2 linked regions of the Caenorhabditis elegans genome follow. The protein of the gene in region 1 purifies or fractionates together with the protein of each later gene. This does not show direct contact. Each region holds a gene or a part of one and is shown in the gene's direction. Other genes may lie near its edges.

Region 1 (9,321 bases):
TGACTAATATTTGCCTACAAGGTGACAGGCGCCTGCCTTTTGCATGCCCACTTACCTACTTTTCAATTGGCAGTTTAAATCTAATAGAAGGGTTTCGGTTGTGACGAAAATTTTTTTGTAGACATGCTGTTTTTCTACGTGGAATTTTTTCTAAATTTTACTGAAACTAAATACTTCAAATGACAAAAAAAGAAGACAGTAAGTAGGCCTGTAGGCAGACAAGTAGAATAGGGCCTACCCGCCCTTCTCGTCTCTTATTAAAAATACGATCGGCGTGATGCCATTTTACAAATTCTCGCAAGCTGAACAAACACCTGGAGGCAGCGATTAGCATTCGTACTATTTTGGAAAGCGAATTTTCTGGTTTTTTGAAAAATTTGGAAAATGTGAAAAAATAGAGCCGGCGGCTAAAACTTTTCTGAAAGTTATGTATTTACTAACATGCTTAAAGCCAATCACTGTTATCATTTATCAAACAAATTATGTAAATGCAACGTCATTGTTATTGAATGTAAATGCTAAAAGGCACAACAAAGCCGACAGAAACTGACAAACAACTTTTAGGCAAGTTAAAACTGAACACAAATTTCAGCTTTAATTCGAAAAAACAATAAACGAGTCGCAGTGGACGGAGTGTTCAATCCAAAATGCCGAGGTTTCAGCGACTGGCGAATGAGAAAGTTTGGAGGACTTTGCGCAAAAGAAAAAGAGGTTTTTGTTTCGAAAAGTGTGTTTCAAGTATCCCGATCGTTTTAGCTATTTATTCTGGAGGACGATCACACCGATCCAGCGTTCATTCTCACAAAGTGGTCTGGAGAACCGCCAACTTCATCAGACAAGTATCAGGAGAAGGGGGACTCTACGTAAGGAACCCAGTGGGATAAAAGCTTCATGTTCTAGTTTTCAGAGAAATTTTCACAATCGCTGAATGTCTATCTCTACATAATCTCCAGGCAATCAAGAATACTGGAAATTTGAAGGATTTTTTGTGAGTTTTTTTTTTGCAGGATTTTCAAACCCAAAACTAAAAAAATTTCAGGTGCGGCGAAGAACCAGACAAACAAGTCGGCGAGGTGCCATTCTTCGGAGTTCTGTGTGGATGTGCTCCAGTATAAAATTATTTAACTAGTGCCAAATGTATAAACAATTTTTGAATTTTTTGAAGATTTTTCAGAGAAATCTGTCCTCGAGGCACAATATAAATTGTTCTTACAATGTATGCCTAGTTTGAAAATGTATATCATGACTCGATTTTTTTTGTGTTATAAAAAATTTTCCCTCTAGAAAAAGTTGAAAAATAGGTAGAAAAATAAAATGCGTCATTTCCGCCCAGCCCCCGAGATACCGTATCATTTTGATGTATTCGGGGAATAATGGTTCCGCAGAAACGGAATCATTGAAGGGATGTACAGCTTTTTTATAGCTTTTGACTAGTACAAAAGCATACTGAAAGCTTCTTCTTGAACTCTTCATAACATGTTAGTTTTATTCTTACTATTCTTGGTTGTTCCGGCGGTTTCTGCAAAGGATCCAAGATGCCCAAAAAACTTTACTTTTGTCAAAAGAACACTAACTTTTAAGAATAATTTTACAAAGGGGTGGTGCTTGGGGGTACGTTATTGATAGAGACAGTACCCAGTTTTAAAATACACTTTCAAGATTTTCAATGGAACGGATGTGGGAAATCGTGACCGAGCCCGCTCAGTCTGTCTCTATCATAACGCTTCGCTGAGCAATCCAGAAAATTCACATGAACTTGAGATTGTTTCTGGTAAGTTGATCATGTTTTTTTTTAAAGACATGTCTTCAATTCAAAATCGCTAGGAAAAATATGCTTCTAAATGTGTAATTAATTTTTAGACGTTATTCGCGCACGGAACATTTCCCTCCCGATTGCACTCGACGGACAACTCTCTCCAAGATGCAAGGCCCTTATTTTCAGAGGCGAACAGAGCCAACAATATTTTGACCAAAGAACAGAGGAAGGAGATTGCAATATTAACAATCATTTGTTTGTATATGATGATATCAATACAGATACTTTATTTATCCGTTCCAAACTAGGTACTTCGGCTGGAACTAATGGAGGATACTCCAGTCAGGAGGACGGAGTAAAGTAAGTGTATGAAAATTTCTAGATTCAACGTCAAACAAGTCTAGAATTCAATTTACAGATTTCGTTTCACCAGAGATTGTAACGCATTAACAGATGCATACTATTACTTTTCTAATGGAACACATTTCTATGCGGTAGATGGACGAACTGAATTGCTCGGATGCTTTGGGGAAAAGGATAAGCAAAATAAACACGAATATAGTAGTGTTCTTTGTGGAAGATTCCCTCTCTGAGTTAATTGATCAGAAAAGACAGTTGTTAATAAATATTTTGGAGTTGTTGTTCGAATTCATCACTTGTGATTATATCAGAAAATACCAATTTTGCAACAAACATCAGTCGAGGATATGCATAATTTTCATAATAAGTATTTTTTGATAGCTAAAGATTGGAGCTAATCATATTTCAAAATTTACAGAGACAGGACTATTTTAAAAGTAAACTACCCTGTAACAAATCAAGAGTTTCGAAGCTTGAAATCAAAAAAAAACTTATTCTTGTAAATCATTTTATATTCTACCTCGGAAGCCGACAAAAGCTTGGTTTTAAAAAATCTAGCTTCAAAGTCTTGTTTTCAACCACAAATGTTTGTGTACATAAATTTTTGGATAGGTATCATAACAAGCAAGAGGGCCTTATGTTAGTCATAGGCTTGCACTCAGTTGCTCAATTTTGACGGCTAATAACTAGGTTGTGTTTTGTTTTACCAAAAATTATAAGCTGACAAAGAATGTGTTACAAATTTCTCTACAGTTTTGGTGTTAAATGTTTTTGATAAAAGGGCTGAAAATGAGGGTACTTTTGTTAGAATCTTTATTAGATCAGATATTTTTTTGTTTCAAAGCGCATGGTTTCAATATTCTTGACAACTTCTATCAACCTACGTGTTATATAAGAATTTCTTTGAATGAAATCATCCAACCTGATGAAGAAATATAATGCGTCGTTTCCGCTATCCAGCCCCGAGATACAGTATCATTTTGATGTATTCGGGGAATAATGGCTCCGCAGAATCGGAAACGCTACAGGGGGCGAACAACTGTTTTATAGCTTTTGACTAGTACAAAAGCATGCTGAAAGCCTTCTATGAAGTTCAGTATAAAATGTTAGTTCTATTCCTACTATTTTTGGCAGTCCCAGAATTTTCTGCGAAGGATCCAAGATGCCCGGGAAACTTTACGTATTTCAAGAGAACACCGACGGCAAAAAATAACTTTACAAAGGGATGGTGCTTGGGGGTAAGTTGTTCATATCAATGACACCTAAATAGTTTTAAAATGATATTTCAAGATTTTCAATGAAACGGATCTGGGAAATCGCGACCGAGCCCGTTCAGTATGTATCTATTACAATGCGTCGTTGAGTATTCCAGAAAATTCACACGAACTCGAAGTGATTTCTAGTAAGTTTTTGAGGATTTTTTTATTGCTGCATGCGGAAAAATGTAAAATTTCCAGAGACTGCTAGCTTGAGAAACATTTCCGTACCAATCGCTCTTGATGGACAACTCTCTCCAAGATGCAAATTCGCAATTTACAAAGGACAAGTAAAGGGTGCAAAACGATTTAATCAAACTTCTGAAGAAGGAATTTGCAATATTAAATATGAATTGTTCATATATGATGATATTAATACGGATACTTCATTCATTCGCACAAAGCTAGGTGTTTCGGCAGGATCAAACGTAAGAAGTGTACAAGCTGATGATGATATCGAGTAAGTTTTGAAAATCGACTTTCCTATTTGCATCCAACATTTCATTTTCAGGTATCGCAGTACAGCAGATTGTACCGTTTTGGAAAAAGGATCGTATCACTATTCTAATGGAACACTAAAAGATGGGCACACTAATTTGATGGATTGTATGGGACAGCTAGCTGGCTCCAAGAGGCTACCAGAAAAAAATGTCACCGCCGTTCTTTGTGGCCGATTGCCGTTCTAAGTAAATGTATTCTATCATTTCTGGAAAGATTAATTTTCAATATTTAATAAATATTATATTTCCGAAATCTTTCTGATATTTCTTATTACCTTAGCTGATTGAAAAGATAAGGTACACCCAATTTGTTTCCGCAAGTGAACTTCAGGTTATTCTTAGGCGACGAAAATCCCTGTGCGGGTTTACAATTAAATCATTTTCGCAACGAAACATTTCCTTTTACAGAGTTTTGACAAGTGTGTATACCATTTTTGTAAACTAAAAGTCAATTAATTCATCTTAACTTTCGTCTCGAACTTTTCGTTTTTAAGTTCCATCTTGTTGATAATACGGCCTAAAAATTGTAAAAAATTTCTCAAAGCTTCCTATTTTCTGTGTCAAGAAAAATCGGAGAGCTCTACATTATCTCTTTTTTGGCTTCCGGAAAACTTTTAGAGTAAATTTATAATGTATAATTTATGATAAACCTCAAGAAAATAGGTACAACAAGCATCTGCTACGTCCAAATCAAAATGTTTAGAAGAATAAATACTACGGTAGAGCATTTTGTGGGTGTTGTTGAACATCACGCTTTTGTTGAAACGATCAAATGCTGTCGGAAAATAATGGCTCCGCATGGCTTAGTCACAATTTTATCGATTTCAATAGGTACAAAACCCCGCCGAAACTTTTCAAAACTGACAGAAAAATGTTCGTTTTCTTTTTGCTATTTTTGACTGCGGTTTTCGCAAAGGATCCACAATGCCCAGAAGGGTTTTCTCATGTCAAGAGAGTCCCAACTGCAAGGAACAATCATACAAAGGACTGGTGTTTGGGCGTAAGTTCCAAGTTTTGGGTTTTGTGTTCATAATGCTTTATGACCATATTTCAGGTTTTCCAATTCAAGAACATGGGAAACCGAGACCGAGCTCGATCATTTTGCAGTTATGTGAACGCTTCATTGACCATTCCAGAAAATGAGCACGAGATTCAAGTGTTTTCTGGTAGGGATATTTTTCAATAAAAACATTTTCAGTGTTGTAATCTTCAAAAACTTTCAGAAATCGCCCGAGCTCATGGAATTGAAGCTCCTTATGCTGTTGACGGTCAAATTTCTCCAAAATGCAACGGTCGTATTAATAAAGTCGAAATCATACTTCGTCATCGATTCAACAGTACAGAAGAAAAAGGAGATTGTAATATCAAGAATAATCTATTTTTGTTCGATGATGTCAATAGTGACACTACATTCATGCTGAGCCATTACAAACGTCGACTTCCAGCTGCTTATATGGTTCATCAAGCTGACAATGGTCCAATGTAAATTAGACATAATTATCAAATAGCGTGAAATCATAAAAAATCAAATATTACAGATTCCGATTCGCCGCTGATTGCATTGTTCTAAAATCTGGAATTGTCAAGGCTAATGGCACAGAAACAAGAAAGAATTGGGGAAGTTTGGAGTTTTGTGTGGGAAAAAATGCAGTGCAGGCTTATACAGACGATGAAAAACCATATGGAAACGACGTGGAAGCAGTTTTGTGTGGAAGACATCCACTTTAATTGTTTTGAGAAACTTATAAGAAATGTGGGTCCTAGAAATGTGATGCACCTTGTCTTTAGTTTTGATTGAAAATTGTCAGCTGAAAAAATAAATTTCAATTTTTTCTATAGTTTTGTAACTTAGTATTAAAAAAATAACATTGAAATTCCCTACAAAACAGTGAAAACTGTAAAAAACAAAAGCGAATAAAAAAAATCTCGAGTCTCGTTTCCCCCATTATACATAAGTACATCAATCCCTATCCTTTCCAACATAGAAAAAAAACACGACACGGTCTATATGATGCGAATATTCGGTAATACGCGATTTAGAGATGATGGAGGAAATAGATGGGACTGGATTTTTTGTCAATTTTTTTTTACAGTGATGATGATTAACTTTTTATGGTTGGGAGGTTTTTCACTGTATTATACATATATATGAATGGTTAAGCAGGAAATGGGGGTTAAAGTAAGTGTGAAAGGAGAAGCCTAGTGACATCAGCAACAGAAGATGCCTGCCGGTGTGCCTTCAAGGCAATCTAGGCCTACCTCGTGCCAACAAACTCCTGAAGTAGGCCAGACAGGTTCGAGGTATGTATGTAGGTAAGCACACATGCCTGGAGCTTAATGAAAACTTTATGGCAAGAAAATGATCTAAACACATGCCAAAATACACTAAACCCCAAAAAAACGGGAACTTTCGAGAGGCCCAGCTGAGAGTTTAACACATTTTGTTGAAAGTAATGTGGGTTTTATAGGAAATCTCTAGCGATCAAACACTCCGAAAACTTTTGAGTTTCATGCATCTTTTTGTGACGTACTGGAAGATTTGAAAAAATTGGAAAAATCAACTGGCAATAAGACGTTTAGAAAAGATGATTGGCAAAAAATGAAACTGAACATTCAAGTGACCAAAATTTGCCAAAAAAAGGAAAAGGAAACATTAATTTATAATTGAAAGATACTTAATCTAATAAACACACGAAACCATAACGATCGTATGAATCACTGGTTTCGAGTGAAGAGAGAGAACACTTGTAGTTTTCAATTCAAGTGAGGTGTCGAGAGTATTGACACATTTATATGCACTTATTCTCATGTTTTTCAAATGGTTTGAAATGCTCACTTCCTCATGTGAAGGGTTTATTAAAGTTCTTGGAAGTTGTGAAAATTAATTGTAAGTAAAAAACTCCGAATTTGTGCGCGCACTTGAAAATTACGTTTTAATTCGGATTTAGGATTTTTGCAACTATGATTTTTTTCAACTGCTCAAAAATTTAATTTTGTTTTTGAAATTTCCAAATTTCTTGGAAACTTTTTAGGACACCGATGTCTTTTCAATCAATACAAATATGAAAAAAAAAAAAAAATCGCATGATCGAAGAGCGGATCGAAACGAAAATTGTTTTGTGTATGAGGGGATGAATGGGGGAAAATACAGAAAACCGAAACGAATTGAATAGAAAAAAATGAGTGGAAAGGGCTAGAGGACGACGGTCAGGATTATTCGTCATTCAAATGTGTGTGGAAGAGTAGATGATGGTCACCACCACTAGTCGTCAACTACAATTAGTCCCCCTCTCTCAATCTACTGGAAAAGAACGAGAAAATGAACACTTTTTGGGTGGGTTATAAGTGGTGTTGGTGTGTTGATTGGTTGGAAAAATGGATTTGATGGGTTCCAGTTATTTTACTGGACATTTACTGTGACTAATACTTAATACATTTTAGCGCGGATACAGTTAGTTGGTATTGAAAACGAAAAGGGCGGAACTCGTTATAGAGAAACGGAAACTGTGAGATAAATTTTCAGGAATTTTAAGAATTTTCGGTATTTTAAAATATAATTAGCGTGTATTTATGGGATTCGGTGTCTCATGTCCCCAAATAAAAAATTTTCTTAAATTGGCTAATTTAAAAATTGAAACTAACAAAAATAAGTTCGAATTTCCCACCGAATTTTTTTAATGTGCTATGTAAATTTCTCGTCACGAGTGGTTTCAAAAAAACTTTTCAGGCCGACTGAAGCTTGAAAGGTTCGGCCCATAACTTCCTGTAGACTAGTGACGTTCAAGAAGAAGTATTTTGTCCAATAGAAATACCAGAAGTTTTAAGATTATTTTTCATAGCAGTTATATGTAGGAAACAGTTCAAGAATTATCATATATGTCAAAAAATGATCACAAAAATGCCTACTCGCCTGCCTACAGGCATACTTGCCTAGGTCTACACCTAGTCCATCTTTAAGGTAACCTACGCCTACCAGAGAATTTTCAAAACGAAGTGAAAGTGTCAAAAACAAAAAGAACGGTGAGGAGTTTATATTGCTCAAGGTGGCAACCTGAAACCAGTCCCCAATCCATGACAAATCTCAAATGACAAATTCTAAGCAAACAAATAGTGAATAAGCTTAACCCACCGGCTCATAATGATGACGATACGTGTTGCGAACTTTCATGAGAAAATATTCGAAGTCAATGGGCATGAATTATATGAATATATCGAATGGTTTGGAAGGCTAAAAGTGGGACAATGCCGTTCACTAATCCGCTTCACTTTATCGCGGTAAGCTAGTTACATTCAAAAAGAGAAACACACAGATTTTTGTCACAAAACCATAATGAATACCTTCATTGTTGAGTATCTCTTTTGTAGAAAATAATGCAGTTCTAGAAATACGACTTTTGAGAAATGACGGCTTAGCTTCAATAAACTTTTTGAGCTCTTTTCTGTGGGCTCTATTGATAGAAATAAACAAACAAAACCTGTGGTGTCAAGTGAAAGTAAATGAAAAAAAGAGGAGAGAAAGTAAAGAGAATGGTGTTCTATTTAATAACTTGGCATTTTTTTGCAACTCAAAGATCAAATTTTGATAAATTTTTTTTGACGCTGGAATTTTTTTTTGCATTTTCAAATGAATTAAGTCTAGACTAAATAGATTTTATCAATTCTGAGATCTAAATTTAGGCACAAAACTTCCTGCCTGCCAACAAGGCGCCTTACGCATACCTCGTGCCTACAACCGTGCCTACCAGGATGTTCTTATATATGCAGTTTTTTAATGCGCCGCGGAACCCAGAAAAGGTCGGTTGCTGTGATTTTTTTGTCCAAATTTAGAGGTAGGTAGGCGCAATGCAGGCTTAAAACCTATGCCCGAATTCAAGCCCGCATACAATCCTAAGCCTAAACCTAAGCCATGGCTTAAGATTAAGACTAAGCCTAAACCTAAGCCTGAGCCTAAGCCAATTGTAAGCCCAAGACTTTCCGATTTCTTAACTGCTAGAAATCTGCTATAACTGTGCTAGAAGTTGAAAAATGATATTTTGATCCAAATCTGAAAATGTTTTTCTGAAAAAAAATCCAGATTATCTTTCAAAGCCCGCTTCGTGGAACTGAAAAGATTTACAGATTTTCAGAGAATTTATCAGAAAATTAAAGCTTGTCAAAGATTTCTGCCATCAAAAAACTTTGAATTTTTTGACTGAAAGACTAGCAAAAGCCCAGAAATCTGTCTACAGCACACATGTTTGTAAGATATATTTGTATTCAACTTCAAAAACGGCCGCACATCCCTTTCTCTCGATTACTAGTTAAATAGAACCGTTGTTTGTCTTTTTATGTTTCTTCTGTTCGTACGGTGGAAAAAACTCAAATAACTTTATTTGAAAAAATGAATTCTCGGATTCTCACCGAGTTTTTGAATGATGATACCCTGAATGAACAATGGAATGTCTAAAAC
Region 2 (11,047 bases), on another chromosome or scaffold:
AATCAAAATCGAGAGAAACAGCTACGGTGGTTTTAAAGGCGCATCACACAATTTTGTATGATGGGTCTCGAGTGGAAATTTTATTTTTTGACATTTTAAGCGAGCTTAAAAAACCTCTTGCTTAAAAATTGATAAACTATTAGTTTTAATTGGGTTTATTTCATAAACTCATCGGAAAACATCTATTTTATATTTTTCTTTAAAAAAACAGAAAAAACAAGAAAACCAAAGAAAAAGAAGAAAAAAGTGGTACTGTGGATTTAAAGGAGCATGGGGCAGTTTTATCGTATGGGTCTCGAGCGGAAAAGTTTGTTTCAGCAATTTCAGCCATTTAATAGTGAAAAATTCAATGCATTTATTAGTTTCTGTTTAAAAACCAATAAAAATCCACAAATTTCCTTTAAAATCGATAAGAAACTCAAGAAAAAGACTAAAAACCAAGCAGTTTGTCAACTTTATAATCGATTTAAGCCATTCAAAACGTGGCTTTTTGCTTGTATAATACGTCCGTGTGGGGGGTGGCGATTCGATAGTGTCTCGTCGTCTCACCACTCTCTTCACAAATTGTCACTCTCTCGTCGCTCGGTCTCTCAAAATGTGTGGAGAGAGACGACGACGCAGATGTTATCGCAGTGTACTCTGCGTATCGTCTCTTGTTTTTTTTTGGTTTTTTGGAAGTTTGGTTAGTCATTTTTGAATGGGGCAATTAAAATTATCTACAAAAACTGGAAAAAATTGAATCTCCCTGAAATCATCCACAAAAATATATAAAAATGTATAAATCTGCCGGAAGCAATATTTGAAAGATCAAAATGTGGTCCTCTAATATATCATGCGGTTTTCTCCTAAAATGCTTCATTTCCTGAACCAAAATAGCTTTATTTCAAATCCAAAAGCGATTTTCAGTGATTCTTTGTTGAAACCGAAATATCTCAAAATCTAAGAGAGATTTTCAAAAAGTTTCAACTAACAAAATATAACCATTTAAAATTCCTATATTTTGTTAGTTAAAAGTTTTTTGATAGCTCTTCTCCCCGCGGAGATATGCACGTTCAAAGTTTAGGCAGCGAGAAAGTGTGGAGGGAGGGGAGACGCAGGCAGCGCGCGCTGTCTCCGTCTCTCCCCCTTCTACACTATTTTATGGCGTCAATTTTAAAGGCGGATATCTCAACGGAGAGAAGAGAAATAAAAAGTTTTTAACTGACAGAATATAGGAAATTTTGAGGGCTACATTGAATTGTTAAAATTTGGTTAAAATTTTGATTCTTGTTCGATTGTTACCCGTTTAAGAGTTTCGAAATTACAATTTCGAGGGAAAATTGTAAGAAAATGTAGGTTTGCTAGCTGAAAATGTGCTCTCAGAGCAAACTTAGTCACTTAGTGATAAGAAAATGTTAAGAAATTATGGAATGTACGTTAAAACTGATAAGGAGGCAATGATCAAAGTCAATTTTTTTTTTCCTAAAATTTTTTTTCTTAACGTTTCGGGGCCTCCAACTAGAAACCAGTATTATTTGAAAAAATAAGATATGAGCAAACATCAGGTCAGAGAACATAATCAGAATATGTTTTGTGGTAAGAAATTGGGCACAAGTTAGACATCAAAAAATTTGCGCGTTCTTTCACCTACAAATTTTCAAAGATACATATCTCTGCAGGGAAAAAAACTTAGAAAAAGTTGTCAACTAATAAAATATAGGAAATTTCAAGGGCTATATTTTTTCAGTTTGCACCTTTTCTAGAACAGTTTTCCTAGCAGAGATATTAACGTTTGAAAAAAGAAGTACTGAATGGGCGGGGAGCGACGCAGGCAACAACCCGTGCAGTTTCAGCCCTTTGTATCTCTGTTTCTATCAATGTTAAAAAAAAGTTGTCAACCAATAAAATATAGGAAATTTCAAGGGCTATATTTTAATAGTCAACAATTTTTTTGATAACTTTCTTCATTGCAAAGTTACACCTAAAACATCATTACACCTTGTGTTTTGCTACCAAACATCACCGATTTCTCACCTAAACATGTTATTGACCTTTATCATTCATTATCATTCATCACTATCACTTTTCTCCAAAATTGTCACAAACACATTGACTTTCTTTAGAAAATGGCAGCAAAACCTATATTGTACTCCTCTTGGAGTTCAGGATGTTCGTCAAGAGTTAGAACTGGTGAGTTTTCCAAAAAAAAATCTGTAAATCCTGATTTACTGTTGAACTATGCGTCTTTAAAGTCAAGAAGGTGAGAGAGTATGGAGGGAGGGGAGACGCAGAGGCTGTCTAATTTTCAAAGGCGCATATCTCTGCAGAGTGCGAAGTTATCAAAAATTGTCAATCAACAAAATGTTGGATATTTTAAGGGCTATATTTTGCCAGTTTACAACTTTTTCGTACCTCTTTCCTCGGCAGAGTTATGCGCCTTTAAAGTTGACGTGAAGAAACATTGTGGAAGGGGGAGAGACGCAGACAACTAGTGCCACCTGCGTCTCCCCTCCCTCCACACTCTCTCGCTGCCTAAACTTAAAACGCGCATATCTCAGCGGGGAGAAGAGCTATCGAAAAAATTTTAACTAACAAAATATAGGAATTTTTGAGGTCTATATCTAAGCAGGTAACTGAACTTCAGAAGACAAAAAAAAATATGGGATTTTTTTAAATTTTTTCAGCTCTTGCTCTGAAAAAGATCGACTATGAATATCAACCCGTGAACTTGCTGAACAAACAGAAAGAGGTAAATTTTAAATTTTGCTCCTAACTCCAAGTTTTTCCATTTTCAGCAAGAATTCCATGGGAACAATCCTGCGGAAAAAGTTCCAATTCTGAAAATCAACGGTCTAACTCTGACAGAAAGCATGGCAATAATCGAATATCTCGATGAAATCTACCCAGACCCACCACTTTTGCCGAAAGAGCCCGAGCTCAAAGCTCGCGCGAGAGCTATTGCTTTTCATGTATGTTTGTTGCATTTATAGACATATTAAACTGTGTTATTTTCGTATTAAAATTTTTAAAATTCGAATTAAGTTCACCAAGACCCCCACAAAATAGGTAGGTTTGTTTTCGCGGTGAGACCAGAAATAATTTCTCGATTTTGCTATAATAGAAAAATTTCAGATCGCCTCAAATATCCAGCCTCTGCAAAACAAGCCGATCTACCTGATGCTCAATGAGAAAGAGCCCGGCTATGGGGATTTTGTGAGTTCAAAAAAAATTTTATAGAGTAGTTAGTATTTGTAGGTGTAAAAAAATTCCTAAAAATCTGAAAATTTAAAGCAATTTCTAAAAAAAATTCCAAAAAAATTTATATAAAAATTTGTTTTTTTTTTTTGAAAAAAAAAACTTCGCAGTTTCCTCGTCGAGACCTAACTTTTTAGATTTTCAAATACGAATTTTATATTCAGCTCACCAAGAGCTTCAAGATGATACCCATATTGGGGTCTTGCCACGAAACCCCTCAGGGTTGCGGTAGCTATTGTGTATTATACTTTTTATATATTTATAATACTTTTTATAATTATACTTTTTTAAGCTCTTAATGCACTGAATTCGATAATTGAATTAATTTTTCCTTTTATACTCTTAACTTCAAGAAATCAATAAAAAATTCTTTAAAAAGTGAATTTTTCCAGTGGTGCCAACACTTCATCAGCAAAGGATTCAAGGCTCTCGAAGAGCTCCTGCAAATGCACTCTGGAGATTTTTGCGTCGGAAATCAAATTTCTATCGCTGATATTTGTCTTCCATCAATTGTGTATAATGCTATAGAAAAGTAAGGAAAAATTATTTAAAAAAGCACATTTTTGTTCAAAAAAAAATTGCCAGATACCACGTGGACATGACGCCCTACCCAATAATTACTCGAATCTCCAATAAGCTAGCGGAGCTGCCAGAGTTTCAAGTGGCTCATCCCAACAATCAACCGGATGCACCGAAAAACTGAGAATTGATAATGTTTTTATAGCTTAAAAATATGAATTTTTCCATAAAAACAGCTGTGTCAAAAACTATAGCAGCTAGCAAAATTTTTTTTAACTCACAATGTAGCCCTTGAAATTTCCCATATTTTGTTAGTTGAAAACTTTTTAATAGCTCTTCTCCCCGCTGAGATATGCGCCTTCGAAGTCAGAGCCAGCAAGAGAGTGTATGGGGAGGGGAGACGCAGGCGGCGCGCGCACACTGCGTCTCCCCTCACCCCACACTCTCTAGCATCTGTAAATTTTGAACGCGTATATCTCGGTGTAGGGACCAGCTATGAACGAATTTCCAACTATCGAAATATAGGGAATTTTAAGGGCTATAAGCTGCTTGTATTTGTTTTTTGAAAAGTGAAAGATGGAGGCCGTTGGAACAAGTTTATTGATCGTTGTAGTAAAGAAAATAGTAAAAGTTCAAGAAAATGAAGCATAGCAATTGGCAGACAAAGCATAATTAAAGTTTGGGGAAATTCACATCATAAAAGCGGGGAGTTTTTTGGGGTCAAGATCTATTTTTATATTCTAATACTCATCTCCTTCTTCTCCATTATCCTCCATACTGTCCACACCGACTTCCTCATAATCCTTCTCAAGAGCAGCCAAATCTTCACGAGCCTCACTAAATTCTCCTTCCTCCATTCCTTCACCAACATACCAGTGGACGAATGCTCTCTTCGCATACATTAGGTCGAATTTATGGTCCAGACGAGCCCAGGCTTCAGCGATTGCGGTGGTGTTGGAGAGCATGCACACGGCACGGGGTACCTTTGCCAGGTCACCTCCTGGGACTACCGTTGGTGGTTGGTAGTTGATTCCGACCTGAAAGCAGTATTATAGCTATAACAGTATTTTTATCAATTAACTTTTATATTTGAAATATAGCCCTTAAAATTTCAAACATTTCATTAGTTAAAAGTTTTTAAATATCTCTTTTCCCAGCCAAGATATCAGCGTTTCAAGGTGAAGGTGACTAAAGAGTGTGGGGTGAGAGGAGACTCAGACTGCGCGTGCAGTCGGCGTCTCACCTCTTCCCACACTCTCTCGCTGTCTAAACTTTGGAAGCGCATATCTCCGTGGGGAGAAGAGCTACAAAAAAAGTTAAACTATCAAAATAAAGGAATTTTTATGGGCTATATTTTGTGGGAGTTAGTTAAATGTGTTATTTTTGTCAATTCTAGGTAGTGTTTTTCGAAATCGAAATATTTTTCTCACAACTAAAATTTACTTTGACGAAATGTGTGGTAAAGATGATAGAGGGTAAACATGAATGACGTTTTATTAGTTTTCCTGTTTCTTGGAAGGACACAATTATTTGAGAATTAAAAAAAAAGGAAAAAAGTGAAGTGAGGGCAAATTGTTTTTTTTTCTTTTTGAAAATATGTTGTAATTTTAATTTCTCTTCCAATTTAAGATTTTCAGCCAATTAGGTAAAAAACAAATTTTTGGACGGTTTTGCTATAGGCTACATAGCAATCTAAAATTGTTCTGTGAAACTTTTTTTTTGGAGAAAATTAAAAAAAAAACCTTTAAATAATGTAGAAAATATTTATACTTTATCAATATTTAATAATCTAAAAGTAGAAATAATTTATTTTCAAGATTGAAAACTTTTTAAAATTATCAACAAAAAAAAGGTGACAGAACATTTTTTAAAAACTCGAAACCCCTGAACTTTGTTACTTAAAGATTTTCAGTTAAATTTTTATTGAAACTGTAGAAATTTATTTGGAGCACTTTGATATGTAATAATCTGAAATTGTTCTGTGAAAATTTTCGAGTAAATTGAAAAGCTTTTTTTTTGGACAACATTTTAAAACAGCATAACATTACTCATTTTAGAGATTTTCCGCTATTTTTTGACTAAAATTGCATGCGTTTTTGACCCATTTTGTTATTAATTAATCTAAAATTGTTTTATGAAAAAATTATTACTAGAAAAAATAATCAATTAATATTTTTTGGAAAAATTTCAAAACCATATAACTCTGTTAGTTTTTGAGGATTTTAGCTAATTTTTTTTTACCTAATTTTGTCCTTTGAAAATTATCTGAGAAATGTAAAAATTAAAAGAAAACAAAGTAAATTTCCTGGGTTTTTTAAATTTCAAAACCCTATAACTTCAATAATTTTCAAGATTTTCAGCATATTTTTTTATTTTTTGCTGAAACTGTAAAGCAAAATTAGAAAAAATATTTTATGAAGTAAACTGAGACTCGTTGTGAATTAAGTAAGAAAAAGAAAATTTTCTTTTAAGAAAAAATTCTTTTAAAAGCCAAAAAGTTCATAGAACAATCTTAAGATTTTCAATTTTTTGCCTGAAATTGTGGGTTTTTGACAAAAGTTCAAGACACCTCAACTTCACTTTTTTCAAGATTTTCGGCTAATTTTTGGCGGTATTTTTATGTGTGTTTATAAATTTTTCGTGGCGAATTTTGAGATTTAAAATTATTAAAATAAATAAAATTTATTCAGAAACCTACCTTAAATCCAGTTGGGCACCAATCTACAAATTGAATGCTTCTCTTAGTCTTAATAGTTGCAATTGCAGCATTCACATCCTTTGGCACTACATCTCCACGGAAAAGCAGACAAACTGCCATATACTTTCCGTGTCTCGGATCACACTTGACCATCTGGTTATGTGGCTCGAAGCACATATTAGTGATTTCAGCCACTGATAGCTGCTCGTGATAGGCTTTTTCCGCTGAGATAACCGGAGAAAATGTGGCTAGCGGGAAGTGAATACGTGGATAGGGAACCAAGTTTGTCTGGAACTCGGTCAAGTCGACGTTGAGGGCTCCGTCGAATCGGAGGGAAGCGGTGATGGAGCTGACGATTTGACCGATGAGACGATTCAAATTTGTGTAGGATGGACGTTCGATGTCCAGGTTGCGACGGCAAATGTCGTAGATTGCCTGGAAATTTTTTGGATTTTTTTTTGGAAGTATCAAAAAAAAAATTTTTTTCGGACAATTTTTTTTCTATTTAAATATTTTTAATAAAAATTTCTGCCAATAGGCTTTGAAACTATTAAAATCTCAGTCCCCAAATTATAAGCTTCAAAATAAGCCCCATATTGCTTAGGTTCCGGCCCTTTCTTATTTTTGGGTCTCACCACGATTTTAAAGGCGCGAAGGGCGAACATTTTCAAACTAACAGGAACCGAGTCAATATGGGTGTTAAATTGAAGCTCTGAGTGAGCTGATTACAGTTTTTCTAATTTCAAAAGCTTGAACTTTCGAATTTTGCAAAGTTTTGAGATTTTAATTTTCGGTATCTGAAATTGTATTGATTTTTTTTAAATTTAAGGTGTGAAAATAAAATACAAAATTTTGAGACTTTTCAAAAACTTTTGTCTTAAAAATTTTCATATTCTAGGGCATAACCAGTGAATAGGGCTAAATAAATATTTAAAAAAAAAATTTTCAATTTAAAAATATCATTAACTATGTTAATATGGTTGTAATTTACAGTTACTAACAAGCTAATTTCTGTAAAAAAATATTTATCCAGTATTTACCTCATTATCAACCATAAATGAGCAATCCGAGTGCTCCAAAGTGGTATGGGTGGTCAAAATCGAGTTATATGGCTCTACGACAGCAGTGGAGACTTGAGGAGCCGGATAGATGGAGAACTCGAGCTTGGCCTTTTTTCCATAGTCCACAGATAGTCTTTCCATCAAAAGAGAAGTGAAACCGGATCCAGTACCTCCTCCGAAAGAGTGGAACACTAGGAATCCTTGAAGTCCGGTACAGTTGTCAGCTAGACGGCGGATACGGTCAAGGGTTAGGTCGATGATTTCTTTTCCGATGGTGTAGTGACCACGAGCGTAGTTATTTGCGGCATCTTCCTTACCAGTGATGAGTTGTTCCGGGTGGAAGAGGGAGCGATAGGTTCCAGTGCGGATTTCGTCTGGAAAATTTTTGTTTTTAATTTAATATTTTTTTTTGATAAAAATTCGAGTTCTCCTCAAAATTTGCAATACTTCCTTAGTTGAAAATTTTTTGATAGCTCTCTTCTACGCTGAGATATACACTTTTGAAGTTTACAGGGCAAAATAGTGTAGAGGGGGGAGAGACGCAGACTGCGCGCGCACATTGCGTCTCCCCTCACCCCACACTCTCTAGCACCTGTAAACTTTGAAAGGCGCTATCTCCGCAACGAGTAAGGCTATGAAAAAGGTTTCAACTAACAAAATATAGTTAATTTTCAGCGCTACAATTTGTTGGTTGACTAGTTTTCGATCTGACAAATAATTTTTGCGTTATGGAGATTTGAAGTATTTCAAACAGTTCTTAGAATTTAATTTTTGGTAATTTTGCCTTTTCAGTAAAACACTTTAGCACATGTAGGAAAAAAACCTGTTTTGAAGTCCTGTTTTTGAAGAATTTTCAGTTTTCTCAATTTTTAGAGTTTTACAATACTATCAAAATATAGTACTTGGAATTTCCTACATTTCGTACTTTAAAAAATTCTTGATAGCTCAACTTCCCGCTGAGATATGCCCGTTTAAAATCAACAGTACCGAGAGATAGTGGAAGGGGGAGAGACGCAGACGGCGCGCTCACACTGCGTCTCCCCTCACCCCACACTCACTGACGCCTGTATAGTTTGAAAGGCGCTATCTCCGCAACGAGCAGAGCTATCAAAAAGGTTTCAACTAACAAAATATAGGAAAATTTCAGGGCTATAAGTTGTGGGTTGACAATTTTTTGATAGTGTTCCTAAATTTTCAGATATTCTCGATTTTAGCAGAGTTCTCAGATTTTCTCCCAAAATCCCCCACGAAAATACACAACTTTTATTTCTTTGCCCATTTTCTCATCTTTCAATGAATTTTTATGTGTCCTCATCCTTCTCCTCCGCCACCAACACTCCCAAATATTCAATTCCAATTCCTTATTTCGGTTTCGGTTTTCGATGAATATCCAATGTTCTTCATCCCTTTCCCTCCCTTCATTTTCTCATCTTTTCTTCTTTTTTATATGAATAGCAGACGAAGAAGTTTGTTGGTGAGAGGGGAAGATGAGCTTCCTCCCGAGAGTATACTTTGTCTATTTGGGAAGTTGATGGAACATGGAACTTTTGGTTTTAGTTGCAAAACTAACGACAAACAAATTTTCTAGACTAACTTGAAACGCCTATAACTTTGCCGGAAGTTGAGTTAATAAAAAATTGTTTATTAACATATTATAGAGCTCAAAATTTCCTACAACTTGGTAGTTGTCAACTTTTTGATAGCTCTCCTCATCGCGGAGATATACGCGTTTAAAGTAAGAACAGTGAGAGAGTGTGGAGGGAGGGGAGACGCAGTCGCGCTCGTTGTCTGCGTCTCTTTCTCTCCCACGATCTTTTACAACGACACGTTAAAACGTTTGTAACTCTGCGTAGAAAACAGCTATCAAAAAAGTTTCAACTAACAAAATGTGAGAAATTTTGTATAGTATTTTCAGATACCCCAAATTTCTCTGAAAATGTTCAAAATTTCCTCCGTCAAATAGCAAAACATTTTCCATTTGCATCCCTAATAGGGTGTCCTACTCCAATTCCATTAAATTCTTGGAGAGAGTACATCCATTCATGTTAGCAGATGTGTAGTGTCTGCGTCTAATTACATCACAATGGGCTCGCCATTTGAAGCAAAAAGAGGAAGAGCTCTTTGAAAATTGAGCCGAAATGGAATTGGTGACGTTTTTCTAGGGTTTTCGGAGAAGCCTAATATCAAAAATTTTCCAATTGCGTTTTTTCGCAGAACCACAAAAAGTCATAAAGTTAGACCTTTTAACTCAAAATTTTAAAATTTTTTTCAGCTTTCCGACACCTTCAAAATACGTATAATCATGACCAGATTTCCAAAAAAGTTTGGTCCCGCCACGAGAGCTACAGTACCCCTTCAGAATTTTCATAGCTTAGTTATGTTTGCATATTCAAATGAAAGTTCTCAAAATGCCAAATATGAAAACCAAAAAAATTAGGTCTTGCGGTGAAACTGGGAATATTGCTGTGCCGTTTTGAAAATTTAAATTTTTTGATTTTCGAAATTTTTCGAAAATCCATAAATGTGCCAAAACTTAAAGTTTTGGGCGGAAATTAGAAGTTATAAATGCGTAAAGTCCTGAACTACGCAAAAATAATAATTTTTAACATCTCTGTAAGATTGCTACAGTACCACATACGTTTTCGTGACGGGACCCAAAAATTTCAGCATTTTCAGAACCTAGTCATGATTATACTTATTTTAACGGGCTTTTAACACTGATTTCAAAAATTTAAGTGAAAATTCAAAAATATCTTCTTAAAAAAAATCCCCCACCAATGACAGTTGGCTCCAAGTCGACCATGACGGCTCTTGGCACATGACGTCCACTTCCAGTTTCCGAGAAGAAAGTGCTGAAAGAGTCATCGGATCCTCCGAGGGACTTGTCAGAAGGCATTTGACCATCGGGCTGAATTCCGTGCTCCAGGCAGTAGAGCTCCCAGCAAGCATTTCCGATTTGGACTCCGGCTTGTCCGATGTGAATCGAAATTACTTCTCTCTGCAAGATAACTTTTTTTGTTTGTAGATTTTAAAGGGTTTTATTATAAAATTTGAATTCAGCAAACGAAGAGCTTCAAATTAAGCCCCATATTGGCTATGTTCCTTTAGATTTGGGTCCCGTCACGAAAGTGTCTACATGGGGTACTGTAGTTTTCGCGGTGGGACCCAGTTTTCTCAGTGAAACCTAGGCATGACTATACTTGAATTGAAGCTCACAGCGTGGTGAATTTGAATTTTTGAATCAAAATTTCAAATTTTCATTTTAAAAAGTTTACTACGATATCTGATATGTATTACAGGTAGACAGGTAGATCAAACCCTCTGAAAAATTTACATTCGTGGCGAATTTCAAATTTGTTCAAACCCACTATTTTATTGTAAAACTCAATTTTCAATAAAATTTCGCGGGTCTCGCCACGAAGAGTGCGTATTTCTTCTAGGAATAGTCCTCTCCTCCCTAAAGTTCCACCCGCAAAAAGAAAGAGAAAAAAGTCAATTTTCGCCCAAATTGGATACATTTTGTGTTGCTCGTCTC

The links.
Region 2: the proteins of clec-136 (region 1) and Y53G8B.1 fractionate together in Caenorhabditis elegans (co-fractionation; one large-scale study listed by BioGRID). This does not show direct contact.

The regions. Positions count from the first base shown.
Region 1 is NC_003280.10:4,611,956-4,621,276, reverse strand, and holds clec-136 (C-type lectin domain-containing protein), read left to right. Parts: upstream 1-4,733; 5' UTR 4,734-4,743; coding exon 4,744-4,872; intron 4,873-4,926; coding exon 4,927-5,038; intron 5,039-5,095; coding exon 5,096-5,354; intron 5,355-5,410; coding exon 5,411-5,600; 3' UTR 5,601-5,703; downstream 5,704-9,321. Other genes in the region: clec-139 (C-type lectin domain-containing protein), read left to right, coding at 593-711, 757-863, 908-988, 1,040-1,115; clec-138 (C-type LECtin), read left to right, coding at 1,477-1,611, 1,660-1,771, 1,861-2,116, 2,175-2,349; clec-137 (C-type LECtin), read left to right, coding at 3,187-3,354, 3,407-3,518, 3,574-3,832, 3,884-4,058; pqn-35 (Prion-like-(Q/N-rich) domain-bearing protein 25), read right to left, coding at 8,211-8,216.
Region 2 is NC_003281.10:3,127,240-3,138,286, forward strand, and holds Y53G8B.1 (maleylacetoacetate isomerase), read left to right. Parts: upstream 1-2,037; 5' UTR 2,038-2,105; coding exon 2,106-2,169; intron 2,170-2,663; coding exon 2,664-2,728; intron 2,729-2,774; coding exon 2,775-2,948; intron 2,949-3,111; coding exon 3,112-3,192; intron 3,193-3,626; coding exon 3,627-3,766; intron 3,767-3,819; coding exon 3,820-3,937; 3' UTR 3,938-4,410; downstream 4,411-11,047. Other genes in the region: mec-12 (Detyrosinated tubulin alpha-3 chain), read right to left, coding at 4,494-4,790, 6,452-6,886, 7,492-7,886, 10,288-10,510.